Cricetulus griseus: one gene and its partners. The protein of the gene in region 1 purifies or fractionates together with the protein of each later gene. This does not show direct contact. Links are inferred from orthologs where the notes say so. Each region holds a gene or a part of one and is shown on either strand. Other genes may lie near its edges.

Region 1 (5,120 bases):
TCCCCTGTGCAGTAAAACAGAGAGATTAATCTAAGTTGCCAATGTGGTCTAAACAACAGAATCTCCAGCCACCCATGGCTCACCCCTGCTCTTCTTCCCCTTTTGTTTTAAGCATGGTCTCACTCTGTAGACCAGGCTGGTCTCAGTCTCACAGAGAGCTACTGCCTCTGCCTCCTGAGTGCTGGCATCACTTAACAGGTACAGGTGTGTCCACATGGAGATCAGAGGATAGCCTGGCCTGCAGGAGGGAGCTGTCTTCTTCTAAGTCAGGCCCTCAGGCTTCAGAGCAGCAGCAGGGTCACCTGCAGGGCCACCTCCAGGGGTCCCTTTTCCTTTCCTGAAGGACAGATTCCTGCTGCAACAGGTGTATCCGCCCCTAACACTGCCAACTCTCCACACAGGCAGTGGATGGGCAGAGGTCCTGGGCAGAGATCCTGGGCAATTCTTAGATTCTTTTTAATTTTATTTATTTTTATTTTGTGTGCACTGGTGTTTTGCCTGCATGTATGTATAGATGTGAGCTGCCATGTGGGTGCTGGGAATTGAACCCAGGTCCCCTGTGGATGCCAGGAATTGAACCTAGGCCCTCTGGAAGAGCTGCCAGGGCTCTTAACCGCTGAGCCAACTCTCCGTCCCCTAAAATGATTGTTTTCATATCTTCTGTTGTTGTTTTTGAGCCCAACTGTCCTGAAATCACTGTGGACCAGGTTGGCTGCTAACTCAGAAATCTACCTGCCTCACTCATTAGTGCTAAGATTATAGGCATGAACCCCTAAAAGCCCAGCTTCTGAGCAAATCTTGACTCCCATGTGGGCATGGCTATGCTTTGCTTGTCAGTTCAGTGACTGAATGAAGCAAGCTGTCCCTCTAACAAATTGGGGATAAGAAAGGAGATCACGTACATCAGCCCTTCCCTTCCCAGCAAGCTGCTGCCCGGGGCTTTCTATCACACCTACTACAAGGTGTGACAAGGACTTCAAGACAACTGTCCCTCACTTCACCATCCCATCCCATCTTCTCCAGTGGGAAGACCAGACCATGAAGAGCTGCTAGGGTCAGGGACACCCACTTTTTAAAGACTCCAAAGAGAAAGGTCCCTTTGTACACTAACGTCAAGGTTACCACACTTCAAGCAGCTAAGAATTGGCTGGGCAAGAATGCACTTGGCCTCCTCTCTACAAGTCTGCAGTGGGAAAATAGGTGGTCGGGAGCACATTAAAAATGACTGGTTTCAGCCGGGCGTTGGTGGCACACGCCTTTAATCCCAGCACTTGGGAGGCAGAGGCAGGCGGATCTCTGTGAGTTCGAGGCCAGCCTGGTCTACAAGAGCTAGTGCCCGGACAGCATCCAAAGCCACAGAGAAACCCTGTCTTGGAAAAAAAAAAAAACAAAAAAAAAAACAACTGTGTTCTGACTGTTGCCCTCCCAAACTTACTTCCAGCTCCTCATTCTGCCTCTGTAGGTCTCCCAGAATGACCTGCAGCTCCTCCTCGTCTTCGCTCTCGCTCTCGCTCTCAGAAGAGTACTCTTCAGTCTCACTCCGGCCGTGCTGCTGGCGACTGTGAGAAGACAAAGGGAACTTCACTGTGGCTTGGTGGCCAGCTCTCTGAGGTCCACCCATGCTGTTCTCAGACTTGGTAAGAAGCTTGAGGTGATGGGTTTCAGACATGTTTGCAGGAGGGTTTAAACATTCTACCCCCATTTAGACAACCCAGCGGAACGCCCGCCCCCTTTACCTCTGTATCTCGGCGATCTCAGCGCGGAGGCGTTCGATCTCCTCCTTCTCCGAGGCGATCTGACGCCGCAGAAACTGCTCCATGGCTAGGAGCTCCTCCTGCTCAGTCAGGATCTCATTTTCCTGAAACGATTGCAGAGCACCCTTCCAAGTTCTGGTAGAGGAAACGCCACCTTTCCAGGGTCGCCCACCCTGCTCAGTGCTGAACACAAGTTACCTCAACCAAAGCCACACTATTTCCTCAGAATCAGCCGAGTTACACGAAGCTGTTTTGAGAACATGTAGACTCTCCCTATGAGCCTACCACCCAAGACCAGGGGGCAAAGGTCAACCTGCCTCAGCTTCCTGGGGGCTGACCAGAGTACTCAGCAGTTAGGAGTACTTGCTCTTCTTCCAGAGACGCCGCCCCCCCCCCCCCCCCAGCTCCCAGCACTCACACTGGAGAACCCACAACAACATGTAAGTCCAGCTTAAGGAGATCTAACACCCTCTTCTGGCCCAGCAGGCACCTGAACATACACACCTGAACAACACATACACACAGATAAATAAACACAATCTAAAACCCGTCTACTCTGACTCCCTGTCTCTCGGGGTTAGGGGTCACCAGGAACAGAAGAGCCCAAGAGATGATGTGTGGCTGGTCTCACGGCAGATGTAAGGCAGACCAGAGAGAGAGAGAGAGAGAGAGAGAGAGGGAGAGAGAGAGGGAGAGAGGGAGGATGGGAGGTCACAGGTCTTCCTCTCGGCATCAGCCATGCCCTCCAGACACAGACAGCAAGAACTCCACAGATAATCACACACAGAGTCCCTGTTGCTCGAATCCAAGTCTTCCACCCTGGAAAGCAGTCAGCAGGAATGAGGAGCTGCAGGAACAGCTTCAGCATCCTTCTAAAGAGGAGCCACGTGGCCATGCCCCATAAGGACTGAAAGGCTATCAGGCACCTCTCCTTTGCCTCAGGGTACCTACGTATGGAGGTAACACTCCAAGAAATCTCAGACGGAAAATCTTTAAGGTAGTAAACCAGAACTTTATTCTCTCCTGTAAATCAAGAAAAATGCCTACAACATGAACTTGTGTGGACTGATCAAGACTAAGAAACTAGGTAGCTTCTCCTCCACACAACAATTCAACAAACACAGCACAGGGTAAGTCCTTGGGAGTCACTTTACAATTCTGGTTTAAAAAGTCTATAGTTGAGCTTCTATTTGGAAAATGGCCAATAAATGACTTCAGAAATGAAAAGAGTTTAGCTTACCTGGGCAAGCAGGATATTTATAACTTCCTCGTTTTCATTCATTTCTTCTTTGGAAACGTCCTCTTTTGAAAGGCTGGCTATCTCCTGTGCAATCTTGGTCTCACACTCCTGTCAAAGATGACAAACGACCAACTGTTGAGCCGGTGTGTAAAACATTCACAAACCAAAATTAAAGAAAACCCTAGCAGCAGTCAGGTGCCCTGTGTGACATGATGGAAGGACATTTGCTAACTGGACTTAGGATATAATTTGGGTAGAACCAGGCGTGGTAGTGCACTTTATTAACCCTAGAACTTAGGAGGCAGAGGCCTGGGGATCTCAGTGAGTTTGAGGCCAGCCTGGTCTACAGAGTGAGTTCCAAGAACAGCCAGGATGACATAGAAAGACCCTGTCACCAAAAAACACAGACACAGAACAAAAGAGAGTATAATGTGGGTAGAGACGGCAAGGTGGCTCAGTGGTAAAGACACTCGCTGTCAAGAAGCCAGACACCCGGAGTCCATCCTTCCCCAGGACCATGTGGTGGAGAGCACCGATTCCTCCAAGCTGTCCTTGGTCGTCCACACGGGTGCCTGGCATGTCCATACCCGTGTGCACTCTCACACACACATAAATAATTAAAAAGCTTAAAGTAAGAAAAGAACACACCAGGGTTCCCTTGGTCTGTGGCTGCACTATGAAAAATGCTCACTTCTGATGAATATGCTCACCAGTTGTGGACCACGCTCGATGTCTTGCAGGGAGCTACCAGGGCTGCCAATCCTAAGGGCCTGATTGAACTCGTTTTACCAAATATATTCAACCAAGGAACCACAGCCACCACCCTATGTTAGGAAAGGTCCCCTCAGCTCTACTACCTGCTGATGCCCAGCAACCACAGACCTGCTGTCTGACTCTACAGCCCTTCTTCCCGTGTTTCTGCTGAACTGACTCAGCAGGTAGCTCTTCAGCTTCATACTTGGCTTTAAGATGCTTTGTCTCCTGTGTTGAGGGGAGTGTTGCCAAGTGACGGCCATGGCATGGATGAGCCTCAACTCCCTGATCCACTCAGGGTCCTCTACTTTTAGCTGTTATAAGCTCTTTACAATGTTCTGTGAAGGCCCATGGGTTGTTGTTCTCTTAGAGGATAAATTTCTGGGTTATACGATAAGTAATCACGTGTAAATTTATAAGAAAGTGCCAAGATGGTATCGTGGTTTAAATTGATACTACATTTTTTTCTTATTTTTAGTCTTTAATCCACTAATGATGCTACTTCTGTTTTTATGTCATTTCTCCTTCAAAGGTGAAGTCAACATGATGGGACCTGGGTTCACAGCAACAATGAATGGATAAATAAGAAGGAAGGAAGGAAGGAAGGAAGGAAGGAAGGAAGGAAGGAAGGAAGGAAAGAAGGAAGCAAAGAAAGGCCAGGCAGTGGCGGTGCAGCCTTTAATCCCAGCACTCGGGAAGCAGAGGCTGGCAGAGGCCAACCTGGTCTACAAAGCTACACAGAGAAACCCTGTCTCAAAAAACCAAACCCCCCCCCCCACTGCCGGGGAAAAAAAAAAAGGCAGCAAGCATCAGGAATGGTAGGAGAGGGAACCAACCTGATAAAATGAAGGTATCCATCCCCTTTTCATACTGCCTCAGGTTTCAATCCAAAATTCTGTGTGTATGTGTGCACCTGTATTTGGGTACTTGGGTGCATATGTGTAGAGGCTAGAGGCCATCTGTTGGGTGTCATTCCCCAATCAGTTCTCTACCTTATTTTTTGAGCCAATGTCTCTGACCGAACCTGGAACTCACAGACTGCTCTAGGGTAGCTGGCCTCACGGGTAGCTCTAGGGTAGGAGACACCTCTCCTGTCTCCACCTCCCCAGAGCTGGGATTACAAACATAAGTCATCGCATCTGGCTTTTATCTGGGTGCTGGGGACTGAATTCTGGTCCTTACTTTTGCAAAAGCAAGGACTTTGCCTTTTGCTGTCTCCATGCCCTACACCATGGTTCTTTTATTCAAAATAGATGTGCAACACGAGAAAGGAAAGCCCAGCCTCCACTAGCCATGTTCTAAGTCGTGACTCACAGCCCATGGAAACCCACTGCTGCAATCCAGCACTGGGGAGGCAAAGGCAGCAGAATCAC
Region 2 (5,120 bases), on another chromosome or scaffold:
TGACATGGACATTTTCTCCAAAGCCCCTTTTGTCTCCAAGGGCAGTTTAGCTCCTTCCCAGACAGAGGAGGTGGACGTGTTCTCCAGAGCTCCTTTTACCAAGAAGAGGAGTGTGGAGGAGTTACTGGCCGTACAGGGCTCCTCACAGGATTTGCCAGTGCAGGCCGGCCTCAGTCAGCCTGGTGAAGGGCCCCTGCTTCCAGGCCTCGATAGAGCTATGTACACCCCTGCCCAGACGCAGGGTGTCTTTACGCAGCAGGCTGGTCTCCCTTCCCACTCTGTCCAGGTGGCAGACCATTTTGACAGCAGCTCTCCCAGAGGTTCTCCCATGGAATCTGGGAGTAATCCCAGTGACAGAAACAGAGGCCTGCAGCCCCAGAAAGAAGCCTTTTCTGGGCCGGTGGCTGGCAAGCAATTCCGCCCCCAGGCTTTGTCCAAATATTCCCGACACTATAGCCCAGAAGATGAGTCAAGTCCAGAAGCCCAGCCCATCGCTGCCTACAAGATTGTTTCACAAAGCAATAAGCAGTTGCTGGCTGGCTCTGTGTCTGTCACATCTCTGTCCTCCAGGACTACAGAGCTGCCCGCTGCTGACCCTTTTGCTTTAGCGCCCTTCCCTTCAAAAGCAGGCAAACAGAAACCCTAGGAGCAGAGGCCCAGCCTGAGGCCTGTCTCTACCTACCCCACCAGCACCCATCACACCACTCCTGGCAGGCCTTCCAGGGAGTATCCACTGTGACCTTGTAGTTCCCTGCCTCAGAGCAGAATCACTTCAAGGCAACTAGCAAGGTTGCTCTTTATGTTACACTTCCTTTTTTTGTTTAAACTCTTTTCTGGACTTGTAGGTATTTCTGGTCCTTCACATAGGCCTTCCACCTGCAGTCAGAATTCTGGTTCTTTCCTGCCCAGAAACCTTTTTAATCAAGGAATATTTTACCCCCAGTTACCAGAGGCTGTATTACACCACAACTTTGAATGCCTGCAGCTCCTATTGGGAGTCACTTGAAGAGTCAAGATGAATTCTCTCCAAGACTTGACAATACTCTTGGAACAGAGAGATTTCTAGAAAAAAAAAAAAGAGCAATATAAACCTACTGCACGTCTAAAGAAGTTAATCCTTTTGCCACACTCATCTTTCATTCTTGTGGAGCCAGCAGCTCTCAAAGGATCTTTCACTGATTCCATATGAGCCTAGCTGGCCCTTGTGCACAAATGTCTGGGTGCATGATGTGGCTCAGATTCTCTGTCTTGTAAAAGAGCACACAGGTGGAAAAAGCTCACTCTGCCTTCCCATGGTCCACTTTTTAGACTAGTATGGATACGTGTGTGTGTGTGTGTGTGTGTGTGTGTGTGTGTGTGTGTGTGTGTGTGTACAAGAAACATTTTCCTTTGAGTGAAACCACCATGCCTACCTCCATTATCAAATCATTTTCTTATGTTTGCCTGTTGACCTGACTTGAACCTTGGCTTTATTTGGATGTTTTTCTCATGGTAAAATTGAAGTTGTTAGACCGTATGGGGCAATCCTGCTGGAACTGAGGTTTCAGAGTAGATTTTTAAAATTCCATTTACCTGGTTTTGAAAACTCACATTTCCCAAAATGGACATGGTAGCTCATACCTGTAGCTCTTAGGAAACTATGACAGGAGGACTGCCACAAGTTAGAGGCTAGCCTGGCCTTAATACTGAATTCCAAGCCACCATATCTCAACACCCTCTCCTACTCAAAAAAGTCACTGGTCCTTTTTTTTTTTTTTTCTGTGGCAACAGGGGAAGAATGTCTTTAGAGTTCCAGTCACTGGAAATCCTTCCTGGGTATCATTATTATGAAATTCATTCATAATGTACCTAAGCTACAAGCCAAGTTTGCCTGCACCCAACCCCCACCTCTTCCCATACATGTCTGTTGCCTCTTGAGTGGGTACAAACCTGATACCTAGGAGTAAGCTGAAAATGAAAAAGAACTGGTCAGCTGTCCTTACAGATCTTTAAATTGTCTGTTCCGTTCAGATGCTAAAGTAGAACAGACAGGTGACTGGCTGTGTTTTCAGAAGTGTGTTTTTATTTCTGGAAAGCTCTGACTCATTCCTAGTGTTCTCATATTCTCCATTTTTAGAGCCTTAAAAGAAAACTTGTGACTCCACCGGGAGGTTTCTGTTGAGGAAGTTGAGTTTAATGGAAAGAGTCTGTACCAAATTCCGTGCATACTTACAGCTTCTAGCATACAGTTCCTCTACGTGCTTGGGGGAAGTGTGGAGAGTTGTGCACCAAACTAGATTAGTGATATAAAAATGACTAGAAGCCAGGCATGGTAGCACACTCCTGTTAGCAGGGCACTTAGGGGGTGCAGGCTCAAGGCCAGCCTAGATTACATGAGACACTGTCCCAAAAAATAAAAGAAGAATTACCTAAAATCCATCCAGTCATGAAGCCTAAATGCCAGGCTGCACGTGCACTCAATTAGTTGTGATGTCCTTTTGAGTTTGAAAGTTAGGATTTGGCTGTACAACTCTGTGGAAGAATACATGCTTTGCATGCACCATGTTCTGGGTTCCGTCCTTGTCACACACAAAAAAATGATAAAACCCAAGACTCTGGACGGTAACATAAGAGTGGTTACTTTCTGCTGGGTGTGGTGGCAGGCACCTTAATCCTAGAACATATAAGGCAGAAACAGGTGGATTTGTGTGAGTGTGAGGCCAGCCTTGTGTGCATAGCAAGTTCCAGGACAGCCAGTGAGTGAAAGCCTGTCTTAGGAGGGGAAAAAGGGAGCTATTTTCAGTACTTTTCTTTTTGGTGTTCTACACCTGTTTAAATAACAGGCATATATCATCCTCCCTCCTCCCCACCCCCAGCAGTGGTTGCCAAGTGAGGACTCCACTAGAAACCTGCCTTTCACTTCAGTAAACTATTCTCTCTAGGAATTTGATTTCTCAAAGTTATTATTTTTGAAATTTTTATACTAGTGGATACAAACTGGTCTTTCTGTTAAATGAGTAGTTTGGCTAATGTACATGGAACTTTGCAACCAAACTTCCCATGCTTCTTGTCAGGTGAAGTCCTCCAAGTCATGTGCAAAAAGGATGGGAATGTTCAGAGTCCTCCCTTGATGTCACAGACTCTTGCCGGATTGCAGCATACACCTGTAGTCCCAGCTACTTAGAAGGCTGGGCAGAAGGACAGCTTGAGCCCAGGATCTCAAGGCCAGCTTTGGCAACATACAAGGACCCATCTCTTGAATAGAAATTTGAGAATGCAATGTCAACATCAGCTATGTAACAGTGCTGCAAACTGCTGTAACTTTGATCACTGTATCACTCCATCTAATTAAATAGTCATTATAATTCACAAGGTCCAAATTAGGATAAAATCATGGACTCTTTATTTTATATAGTTGAATCATTTGATCATTTGTGAAGTATGGGCTTTCGGGCCTGTTTTTATCTACTGAGTGGAAAGTCTATCTACCATCTTTGAATAGGAAATGAATGTGACCACATGCAATTTTTTTTTTTTTTTTTAATGCGGCAGTTAGTGAAGGAAATCTGACAAGAGACTAGCTGACAGATGAGTTCTGAAGGAAGTGCTGTGGAAGAGTGTGGATTACAGGATCAGTGGGTAAGATCCAGTGTCCTGGTGGGAGGCCATCCTGAGTGGATATTTGGAAGTTTGTTTTACAGGTAATTAGGAGTGCTGAAAGTCTATGAACCAATAGCCGGTTCCCAGTGACCGTACTCTAACAGTTTTTTTTAGTAAGGAAGGGGAAACATTGTCAACAAAGTCCTGCACTTTGTTTTAATTTCTGCTGTGTGTTAGTTGCTTTGTATATTTCATAGGAAACACAGGAGACTGTCAACTTTTGACTCAGTAGAAAGAGATGAGTCAGAATATCCTTAGACAAAGCCTTAAGCCTATCATGTACTAATGAACTCCTGAATGATGTGCTAGGCTGGGGACATAGCTCAGAGAGGGAACTTGGCATAGGTGAAGCCGTGAGCTCTTCCCTGTTAGCTGACTAATGAGCACTGTTAACAGAGTTAACTTCTGTGTAATGGAAAATGTCTCACCAATTTCTTAGGCTTACAATACAGCTCTTTAGCACCAAGTCCATGGTTAGCGCCAAAACAAATGAAATAAAATAATGAAATGAATATCTGTGGCAGGCACACCTATGATCCCAGAGGCAAGAGAATTGTGAGTTCAAGACCAGCCTGGGCAGCTTAGCAAGATTTTAATATTGAAATTTCAAGAGGGTTGGTTTTGTATTTAGGTGGTAGAATGCTTACCCAGCATGTGCAACCATTGGATTTAATTAACTATGGTAGTGGGAGACAGAGAGCCATAGATGGGTCTATCATGAGCAATCTAGTCAGGAAAGTGAACAGAAGCTGGAGATGGAATGCAGATTTTAGTTCATACAGGCTGTCTTGGTTCACTTGTGAGATTGAAGGCCTGTACACTGTCACACGCCTCAGGGTGTGTATGTGTGTGTGCGCGTGTGCTAACAGTATCCCACTCACTAACCCATGTTGTGTCTCAGTTTCATCTGTCAACTGAGATCTTCTAGATGTTCAGACAGCGCTGTCTTACTGGCCTGTTGTGTATTTCTTACATATTGGACCATGTGTTTTCAGCTACTCTTCACTGGTGCATGAAGTATTAGAGTGGTCTGATAAGAAATTCTGTGTTTTTATTCTGTAAATGAAAATAATCAAAATATGTATCAAATTATATAATATGTATGAATTACTTCAAATAGGAAACTTGAGTGGAAAGTTGGAGCAGGAGATGCAGTGCCTTCTCCAGAGGAACCAGGCAACTTCAGTGGAGTGCATTTGGGTCCCTCAAACGTAAAGAGATGTTGCTCTCTGCCGTGTCTTTGGATTTCAAACTTGAGAACACTCCAAAACAGCTGCTGGTCATAGTATTTTTTATCATAATCAAGCTTACTTTGATGAAAGGTGGTTTTCAGGAGTACAGCGGTAGCAGGCAGGACACCTTGACACTTTCCATGGCCACCCTGCTTCCCAGCCCTCCGGTGCTTGCCTAAAAGAATAAACTGGGGATTGTAAGTGAAATCATGTCATTGAGTGATAGTCTTTGTTAATCGATATTTGTTT
Region 3 (5,120 bases), on another chromosome or scaffold:
TAGAAAGTCTGAGTTTTTAGATGTTGATTTTTGTACCTTGTTACTTTTCTGAAAGTGTTTATCTGATTTAAGGGTTTTCACATGGAGTCCTTGGGATTATTTTGTGTAACAAATAGTATATACAAATAGGAGTTGTTCAATTTCTTCCTCTCTTTATTCATATCAATTTTATTTTTGTCTGCTTTCTCCTAGCTAAGGCTTCATGGACATACTTGAGTAAGTGGGCATCCTTGTCACAGTCCTGCTGTGGGTAGCATTGCTTTGAGACTTTCCTATTCAATATGATGTTGGCCATCAGGTTGCTGCATATATCCTTTATTATGTTGAGCTATACCCCTCCTATCCATGGTTTCCTTGGGTCTTTTGTTGTAAAAGGATGTTGGACTATGGAAATGGTGAAGCAGTTTCCACTAGGAGACTGCTGATATAGTTATTGACATGAGTGTGTTGAGCCATCCTTGCATTCTTGAAATCAAACTGACTGGGTCATGGCAAATGCTCTTCTTGATGTATAGTCAATCCCATTTACAAGCTTTTTTAGTGGGAATTTTTGAATCTATGCCCAGAAGAAAGATGGTCCTCTAATTTGCTGTTGTTAGTCCTGACCTGGTTTTGGAATCAGGAATACTGGCTATGTGAACTGAATGTGGCTGTGTTCTTCTCTTTGCTACTTTCTGGCGTATGTTGAAGAACTTTGGTGTTGCTTCTCTAGATGTCTGGTGGAACTCAGCATCGAGTTCTCTGGGCCTGGACTTCTAAAATTGTATTTAGTTGGGTTACTAAGTCAATCTCATTGCTTGAGATGGACTCTGTCTGAGCTCTTAGTGGCTTATGTCTTCTCAGTTTAGTTCTGATTAGTTGTGTGTGTTTCAAAGTGTATCCATTTCTTGTAGACTTGCAATATTTTAGAGTGTAGGTTTTCACACTGTACCCTAATGGCCCTTTGAATCTGATTGGTGTCTGTCTCTGTGTGTGTTTGGCTAAAGCTCTGTCAAACTTATCTTTTCAAAGGACCAACACTTTGTTTCATTGGTTATTATTATTAGTTGTTATTTCCATTTCATTAGCCTCTGTCCTGATCTTGGTATTTCTATTTATTGAGTTTTGAATTTGGCATTCTCTCTCTCTCTCTCTCTCTCTCTCTCTCTCTCTCTCTCTCTCTCTCTCTCTCTCTCTCTCTCTCTCTTACCTCTTTATCCTCGGGTTCTGATACTCTGTTGTTTTCACTGAATTCTGGGAATTTTTAATTTCCCTCCTGGCTTCTTCCATGACCTGTTATCATTTGGTGCTGTGTTATTTATTCTCCGTGACCTTTTGTGTTCTCTCTTCAGCTTTGCTCCAGTGTGAACAGGTAGAATGCAAGCAGTTAGTTAAACTTTCTTAATTACTTGCTAAGACTTGCTTTGTTCCTAAGATGTGATCCATTTTGGAGAAGGGTCCAAAGGCTCCCGATAAGAATGCGTATCCTGCACTGTTTTGAGTGGAATCATCTAAGGTGTCTGTTCCATTTCATCTGTGATATCTGACTGATGTTTCTTTGTTAGTTCTTTCGGTCTGGATGGCCTGTTGCTTGGTGAGCATGGGAACTGAAGTCTCCCTTATTACTGCTTAAGTCTGTGTCTTTACACCCCATGGTAATTATTTATGAAACCAATACATCCTCTTTACCTCTCCTGACTTAACTCTCAATTGAAGTCTACTTTGTTAGATGTTTCATCAGCGATACCTACTTGCTTTCAAGTTCCATCAGCTTAGAATATCTTCTCCTCCCTCTTACCACCTCAGGAGGCACAACCCAGGGCTTCGTGCATGCTGGGCAAGTACTGTGCCAGCTGAGCTGCATCCCCAGCCCTGCTTTTATTCTTCCATAAGTTATTCCAGGTACAATGAAGTTGCCTAGTTCAGTACCACTCTGCATCCCAGGACAGATAACGGAAGTGGTGGATCTCAGAGAAAGCAAACTTCAGACACTTCAGACCACTTAAAGGGGGGTGGTATTAACCACATGCCTGCATGTACAGTACAAAGAAAGGTCCTACCTGGTTTTACCATGGTGGGCTGTTTTAAAGAAGAGACGAAGACAAAGAGGCAGGCATATGATTTAGCTGTCAGTCAGGCTCCATTAACCTGCTGGGATTAGCGCCAGGGCTGACAGTACTCTGGGATGAAAGTACATGCCTGTTTAGCTTTAAAGCCAGGGAGGACGGTTTGACAGGAAGTCTGTCAAGCAGAAATTCCCTCCCATCAGCACCCTGGACTTGGATCACGGAGTGAAAGCCGATGGTCCCAATGATCACACTTGAGCATGTTCGGGGCTGACGTGACTTTTAAAAGTCAGGTGGAAGCTTAGACTCAGCACAGTGTGGCTGAGCGTGACCTGCCGAAGGTGCTTAGCACTGGTATCTTCTTCTGTTAAGTTCTAATGTGTGACTATCCATTAGCAGAGACTGCCTTGTGACTGTATGACACTCAACCCCAGGGAGCATATGTGTCTTTAAACTTAATGGGATAGCTTAAATATTGGTGAGCTTATTTGGTATTGGGTTTCAAATAGAAAAGTAAGCATAAATAAATGTCTGTGCTTCTGGGGTCACTGTGATGTGTGGCATGGCTATGACAGGCCTCTGGGGGTGGTGAGGTCTGTCAAACTGGAGCAGTTTGACTCAGGAGTCCTCACTAGAAATGTCCCCTGGGTACAGCCTCGCCAACTGCCTGGATTTTAACCTCAAGTTGTGCATTCACACCGTTTCTACTAAGATGTCTTCTAGGGACCACTTGAACACGGGTGTTTCAACTCCCTCTTCCTCTCTTCTTTTAGGTATTTTAATGAGATGTCTGCACAAGGACTAAGACCTCGCACTGTGTCCAGCCCAATCCCTTACACGCCTTCTCCCAGTTCAAGCAGACCTATATCACCCGGTGAGTGTGTCCTCCGCTACCGCAGTGTAGCTGTTTTCCGGTGGATTTTCGGGGAGTGGGGACTGGGCCTCACATGGGTTTAGCTGAGTCCTCCCCACCAATTTTCAGCTAGCTCTTCTGATACGTTTTATCGGCAGCCCTGGTTATGTTCCCCTCTATTTTGTGTTTTTTGTTTGTTTGTTTGTTTTTTCAAAAATAAGTCACCGTCCGTACTTAAACACAAGGACTGCGTGCTTTGTTTTGTTTGCTGCTATTATTTTATTATTTAGTGTTTTATTTTTCAACTTTTATTTTTAAGGACTTCACACCATCTGTCTGCCTCTTCTTCAGTATCCGCTGAGCTTTAAATGTGGATTCATTTTAAACCTAAATTTGATCTCAAAACTACTCCTTTCTGAAAGAAGACTGTGAGTCTTCTTTCAGTCTCAGGGGATGGGCAGGATTCCTGGGTAGACTTCCCAGATGCTCTACCGTGCGTCTTCTGTGGGGCTCCTTCACTGCATTCCCACTACGTTCATATCACTTTTGTTCTCAGTGATACTGTAGGCATCCTTCTTCCTGTTTTAAAATTGGAGAAGCTAATGGGGGATGGTCCTTCTGTGTACGTGTTTCTCTTATTGGTTGATGAATAAAACACTGTTTGGTGAATAGAGTCAGGAAGATAGGCGGGGCAAGGAGATGCGGAGAATTCTGGGAAAGGTAGGTAGAGGGAGCCCGCCAAAAAGAGAACCAACCACAAGATAGGACGCGCCAGGTATTCTCCAGTAAGATAAGGCCATGAAGAAATACATATATTCATAGTAATGGTTTAATAATTAAGACAGAGCTAGCCAGTAAGAAGCCCTAATCATCGGCCAACAGCTTTAGAACTAATACAGCGTCTGTGTGCTTATTTGGGGCTGAATGGGCAGCGGGACCTGGCAGGACAAGAAACAGCCATTCGTGACTTACCATCTCTTGAGTCATCGGGCCGGTGAAGAGGCCAGGGTGGGCTTCCTTGTCCAAAACCAGTGTTCCTCCCAGCCTGAGCTGCCTTCTGATACTTGAGTGATTTGTGAGCGAGGCCTGGAAGACCAGGAAGAAACAAGGCAGCTGTTCCTCTTCTCCTTTGATATTCAGGGCTTTTCTTTCCTGGCATGCTTTTATTCATCTGACCCCCAAAATACTCCTCAGTGTCCTGGGCCCAGCACCAGCACTGCTTGGGACTCCCATGTTGGTGGACAAGTACATGATCCATCCCATAAGGATGAGGATGAGGAGGTGAGGCAGAGGGTGGGTGCCAGGAGTATCAGGCAGAAGGTAGAGTCTGACACACTGCTAGCTGATGAACAAGCTACAGGTAGAGTTGAGGGACAAGTCTGTCGGTGGTGCCAGGCTGGAGGAGTAGCACCATAGGGGTGGCCTTGCAAAGGGTTTGTTAGGACTGTGGTTTGTTTTGTCTGAGGTCATGATTAAAACAAGGATTTCCCTTAAGGTTGTTAAAGGGGATATGATGCTCTAGAGCCACTGCAGTTAGGACAGTGTGGTAGAAATGTCTTGGCTTTATCAGTTTGGGCCCTGGCCAGCACGACAGTGACTTTTGATGCTATTGTTATTATTTTGTTATGTCTGTGAACTACGTATGTGCAGTGCCCTCAGAGGTCAGAAGGGAACATTGGGTCCCTGAGACTAGAATTACAGATGCTTGTGAGCCATCATTCTGTGGGTACTGGGGATTTACATCAGGTCCTCTGAAGAGAGAGCATCCAGTGCTCTAACCACTTAGCCATCTCTCTAGCTCCCTGCCCTTCTCCCTCTTCAAAGGAGACACTCAAAGCTAACAGTTACGAGTCTCCCACATGATGGTGACTGTCCTATTAGAGGTGTGAGCTTTCTGAGGCAAAGGAGACCAAGGATGACCAGGTGTTCGTTCCTGTCAAAGACGAACAGTGTGACTGGCCTTTGTTCCTTGTTTTTGCCAAAAGGCTGTTCCATCTGAATCCATTCCTCTTGTCTCCAGCGGCCTTAACTCTGTTCCTGAAAAATTCTCTTAGCTGCCTCTCCGTTTTCCCCAAATAGTGCTAGGCTTTCATCACTACAATAAAGGTCTCTATTTTTACCTTTTGATTTATTGGCATGAAAGGAAGACCTAAGTCAGGAGTAATGGGGGGAGGGTTACTTTGCAGCAGGCAGGAATGCCAACTCATGTTGAGTGTCATTTA
Region 4 (5,120 bases), on another chromosome or scaffold:
TAAAATGTAGATGTGGACTATGGATTAGCCTACAGAAAAATGATACTGTATAAATCAAGAAGTGAGAGGGCCTTGTGAGATTTCCTTCTTCCACATTGGAATGTCAACTAGTGTTATCATTGGATTATTTCTAGATGAAAAGCTATAGGAAATGAATGATTGCTAAGAGAGGGACAATCAGTCTTCTCTAGGGACAAGATTCCTGATAGGTTATCCAGTACCAAGTAAGTACTCAGCTCTAAATACATGTACATACAAGCAATTCTAGATGGACTTAGCAGGCTGCATCATATATCCATATGTTCATAAAATAATTGTGAAAGAAGAAGAGGTCATGAGTTTGAAAGGAGTGGAGGACATAGGAGGAGTTGGAGGAAGAGAGTATGTGGTAGAAATGATATAAACACAGCACTTGTATATGAACTTCTCAAGAAATAAAATGAAGGGAAAGATTACTTGGAACATCATGTACACAAAGTAAAACATGGCTATTTCAAGAAATGTGGCCTAAGTTTCTTCTGGATCCTAGAATGTAAACAATATCCATGAATGTATAATTTGGCTACTATTGGTTTAAATGGATTTATTGGGATAGCCTGGGAAATGTTATAATTTTTGCCATTTTCTACACAGAAAATTTTTTCTAGTTCATCACATAACTCAGTGGATATAGGAGCTGTCTGTGTAGTCATTTCTCTGCAGTTATAAACAAAATCTTTTTACTTTAAAATGAGTTAATATATATATATATATTACATTATCTTGTAAAAACGATTTGCTTTTTGTTTTTCAAGACGAGGTTTCTCTGTTTAACCTTGGTTGTCCTGGAACTCACTGTGTAGACCAGACTGGCATCAAACTCCACAGAGATCCATCTGCCTCTGCCTCCTGAGTGCTGGGATTAAAGGTGTGTGCCACCACCCGTCCATAAAAGCAATATTAACACTTAAAGAGTCACCTAGATGTGGATTGTTAGACTTTTGATCAGGTTCCCGCCAAGTACAATTGAAAACCAGAAGCATGGGTTATCTCTGTGGTTGTTTGAGTTCTGAGATGCAGACTAAAGTTCACCATTGGATACCAAATACCTCTATGAATTTAATCACCTTCCTTTGCATTTTAAAATTTATCTCTTAAGTTTCAAATATGTTTAAAATGTATGTAATAACAAAGTGCATTTGGTGACAAGTCATCCTGTCACTTATTTCTCCACCTACCTAGCCATTCTTCCAGAGTTTGCATACAAACATAACACAAATATGAGTAGATATTGTCCTCTAATCACAGTAGAGGCCTTAGAGTACATATTTTCCAGTTTTGGGGTAGACCAATATAATTTCACATGTTTATGATGTTTTGATACACGTATAGAGGTTTACACACACAGATTGTGAAGCAGTTAACCACAGTCAAAGCCACATAGTTCCCCCATCACCTCACACTGTGGCTTGGTTTCAGTAGATATTTAAGATCTTCTCTTTGTGAAAATTTTAAGCATACTATATATTGCTATAGTTAGAGTACATATTTGTGGAGCTTATTGGAAATTTATAGTTAGTAAACTTTACACTATTTTAAAACAATTCATATGTGACCAGTTTGTGTATTCAACTTATTAGAACTTTACTCATCTATGAGTCAGGAGTATTTTTTGAGACAGGGTCTCTCTATCCAGCCCTGACTGTCCTGAAACTTGAGTTGTAGACCAGACTGGCTTCAAACTCACGGAGATCTGCTTGCCTCTGCCTCCCGAGTACTGGGATTAAAGGTGTGTGCAACTGTGCTCAGCTTTAGGGGCATTTTTTATTTGCCCATCAGTAAGTTTTTTAATTCTTTCACAAGGAGGCTGAATATCACTACAGATCCTGGCAGATATTCCCACTATGGGTTCATTATCATACCCTCTTTGCATGAAAAAGTTTATAAAGGGCAGGTTAGTGATGGTTGACTAGACAAATTTTACAAAACAAACAAACAAACAAAAACTCTGGTTGAATCCTACTCAAGATTCAAATTTAATGGAAGATTCAATAATATGCCTTAATATGAATCTCCATGTTTCTCAAACCTATTTCTTTCCTCTATGTATATAAACATTTTAGTGCACGTTTACTTCATCAGGAAACCAAATTAATAAAATAGTATTAAATGTTAGGACTTACTGAAGACATAAATTTTGACATGAACTATAACCTTTAAGACATATATTCATGTGTGCTTATCACTTGATTTTTATTTCAAACCATATAATTAATTTTCTTTTCCAAGAAGACATCTGCTAAAGACATGGCTGACTTTCCTGTTCCTACCCAAGATGTGACTACTGGTGATGACAAACAAGGTATGAAAAGAATTAGTTTTATTCTTATAGGCATACCTTCCTATATTTCCTCATCTATTTCTCCTGGAACAGCTTCCAAATCATATGAGGCAGTGCTCAGAATGTACACTCATTTGGATAGATTGTGTAGTTTAAACTGTTGTCAGAAGCCTGTAATTCACAAGTTGTAGTATGAGCTTCAGTTTCTGAGTCCCCTTAATTCATTGGTCATTGTTAATCTTAGGGTACTTTGACACCTTACATTGGATTCTGGTCCCATAGTTAGGAAATAAGAAGAATTGGACGATTAATATCTAGTGTTGGTATAAATGATTTGAAAAAATAAACTACCATAAATGTACATTTGCATACAGGTCTAATCCATGAAGAAGTTCGTTCTTTCATACAGTGTGTCAATCCTAAAGCTTTATGTATTTCTCATTGTTCCAGTGGTTATGGAGGTGTGATATGGAGCCTGGTTTCAATATCCTTGTTTTACTGGGTAGCTGAGAAGGCATGCAGCATAGTGTTCAGTGCTAGAGATACCCTCAGGCATGGGGATTAATTTGCCTGCAGTATCCAGAAGTGCAGGCAGGACCCTATCCTCTGAACCCTGTACTTTGTGTGATCCTTTTGTAATTTACCAAGTCCTTCCTCACATACTGTCTTTTTACAGACCTCACAAAACTAATGTTTTTGAAATCACTTAACATTTAGAAATAAGCAACTGAGCTCAGACAGGCAGCATGAATCATCTACTTGTACAAGAAGAAAAAGAACTGGGACAGGAACCAAGATTTTCTGTCTTAAGCCAGTATTCCATCTGTTATATCAATTCACCACTCACAAGTGGGAGAAGCCTGTCTGAAGGGAAGCCATTTCAGGTTTTATTGTTGAGCCCTGCCATTAATTCAGCCTCACAGAGACATTAAACATGAAAAAGGTTTCCATTAAGCACTGATGGTGTCTTGCTTTCTATTTAAATGTTTGTTTAGGAAATTCAAGTGGAGCTAGACATTATCTGCTGTTGATCACTTTACTAACTTGTGAATTTTGTGTTGGCTGCAAAGCTCTAAGAATATTGAAGCTTGGGTTTAAATTCCAAGCATTCTCTCATCATTGATTTGGCTGTTAGGAAGGAAAGTGGGAGAAATTTGGGATGCTTTTTGGTAATACTCCTCCTAACCACTAGTGGCTGTCTCTTTAGAAAGTTGAAAATAGTTTTTCCTTCTGTAGGTGGAGACCCTGTTTCCATGCTCTATGAGGTTTATTCTAGAAATTCTATAGCAACTTCTAGAGGGTTGTAACACTTTTATAACTGATGGATAGGGATTATTTGTTTTAATATCTTTTATCCCAGAAATAAAAATTTAAAAGGCCTTTGTTTTCTTTTTCTTCTCCTTTCTCTTTCTTCTTCCTTAAACATGAAACAAAATACTACTAGCTTTGAAAAGTACTGTTAATGAACCCTTACCAAAGGACGTGGCTGAGGATACAGGTAGGAGAAAACCATTTTAATGTATTCGCTGTCTAATCATTTCTAAATTAAAAAACCTCAGCTGTTTGGTAACTTGAAGATTATTATGTCTGTGATAGTGTGTCTGTTCGTTTCTCTAGAACCTTGGCTTGTATTTTGTTACAAGAAGCCTTAGATGTTCCACCATTTCCCTCTCTTCAGAAAAGGCTGACTTTAGATTTCACTCAGTTTGAATTTAGAAGTATAAAATTAGGACACCTTAGAATTTCAGTGATTCAGATAAACTCCTATGCTTTCTTTGTAAAGTAAGGAGCTCATAAGGTGAATTAACCTGAAGCCCACAGTTGGTATTTTCCATTACCAAAGTGTTAATCTTAAATATCTTTATACCTCTTCCCTACCAAGAAGCTACTTGTTAAACATGGAGTAGATTCCAAGCAGAAGAAAAGTAGAAGTTGTGCTGGTCCATTTCTGGGAGAAGTAGAAATGTGACTGGGAAACCATAGAGAATGTCTGGGCCTGGGTTTCCGAACATATTTTATTTATTTATTTATTTATTTATTTATTTATTTATTTATTTATTTAAGAGGAGGTGGTGTGTGTGTGTGTGTGTGTGTGTGTGTGTGTGTGTGTGTGTGTGTGCGTGCGTGCGTGCGTGTGTGCGCGTGCCTGTGCCTGTACCTTATGTGTGTACAGTGCCCATGGAGTTCAATAAGTGGTTGTCGGATCCCCTGGAACTGAAATTACAGATGGTTGTGAGCTGCCATGTGGGTGCTTGGAACTGAACTCATGCCCTCTGCAAGAACAGTAAGCCCTCTTACTGCTGAGCCATCTCTCTAGCCAGCCCCCTTTAGCTCTCCAAATGGAGCCATCACCAAAGTAAGATGAACCATGTTAAAGATCAAGTGGCTTCAAAAAGCATTGTTATTTAGATCTTTGGTTATGAGGATTTGAATGAAGTTTCTGCTTTCTTTATTATTATTGCTCTTGCATATTTAGACTGAAAATAATGTTTCTTATGATTGGCTACCTATCATCCTGAGCTTATTTGTTTAATGTTGCAACAGAGAAATCAGTAGATTGCTGAAGCTGATGCTGCTATAAATGTGTTTCCCAAACACTAAGGTCATTTGAAGTTTAAAAGCAAGAGTAGGATGGAGAAAGAGGAAGGAGGAGATAGAGAGGACTGGACAGGAGAAATCACCCCCACCAAGGTGATTCTGTTATGCAGCCTCTTTAGAAACCATTACTTCCAAAAAATCGGTGCTGCAAAATAGGAAATCAAGATGGTAAATCAATCATGACTCCAAAATCTATGGGAAT

Evidence for each region.
Region 2: the proteins of Ralbp1 (region 1) and Aak1 purify together in Homo sapiens (affinity purification with mass spectrometry; 3 studies listed by BioGRID and IntAct, counting the BioPlex papers as one, with this or other methods). This does not show direct contact. The link is inferred for Cricetulus griseus from reciprocal best matches to the Homo sapiens genes RALBP1 and AAK1.
Region 3: the proteins of Ralbp1 (region 1) and Ccdc6 purify together in Homo sapiens (affinity purification with mass spectrometry; 3 studies listed by BioGRID and IntAct, counting the BioPlex papers as one, with this or other methods). This does not show direct contact. The link is inferred for Cricetulus griseus from reciprocal best matches to the Homo sapiens genes RALBP1 and CCDC6.
Region 4: the proteins of Ralbp1 (region 1) and Reps2 purify together in Homo sapiens (affinity purification with mass spectrometry; 3 studies listed by BioGRID and IntAct, counting the BioPlex papers as one, with this or other methods). This does not show direct contact. The link is inferred for Cricetulus griseus from reciprocal best matches to the Homo sapiens genes RALBP1 and REPS2.

Annotation. Positions count from the first base shown.
Region 1 is NC_048595.1:454,797,675-454,802,794, forward strand, and holds part of Ralbp1 (ralA-binding protein 1), read right to left. Parts: intron 3,103-5,120; coding exon 2,995-3,102; intron 1,859-2,994; coding exon 1,737-1,858; intron 1,560-1,736; coding exon 1,436-1,559; intron 1-1,435. UniProt on the Homo sapiens protein: Multifunctional protein that functions as a downstream effector of RALA and RALB. As a GTPase-activating protein/GAP can inactivate CDC42 and RAC1 by stimulating their GTPase activity.
Region 2 is NC_048601.1:58,730,021-58,735,140, forward strand, and holds part of Aak1 (AP2-associated protein kinase 1), read left to right. Parts: coding exon 1-646; 3' UTR 647-5,120.
Region 3 is NW_023276806.1:267,502,801-267,507,920, reverse strand, and holds part of Ccdc6 (coiled-coil domain-containing protein 6), read left to right. Parts: intron 1-2,818; coding exon 2,819-2,919; intron 2,920-5,120.
Region 4 is NC_048604.1:97,395,784-97,400,903, reverse strand, and holds part of Reps2 (ralBP1-associated Eps domain-containing protein 2), read left to right. Parts: intron 1-2,268; coding exon 2,269-2,341; intron 2,342-3,764; coding exon 3,765-3,818; intron 3,819-5,120. UniProt on the Homo sapiens protein: Involved in ligand-dependent receptor mediated endocytosis of the EGF and insulin receptors as part of the Ral signaling pathway. By controlling growth factor receptors endocytosis may regulate cell survival.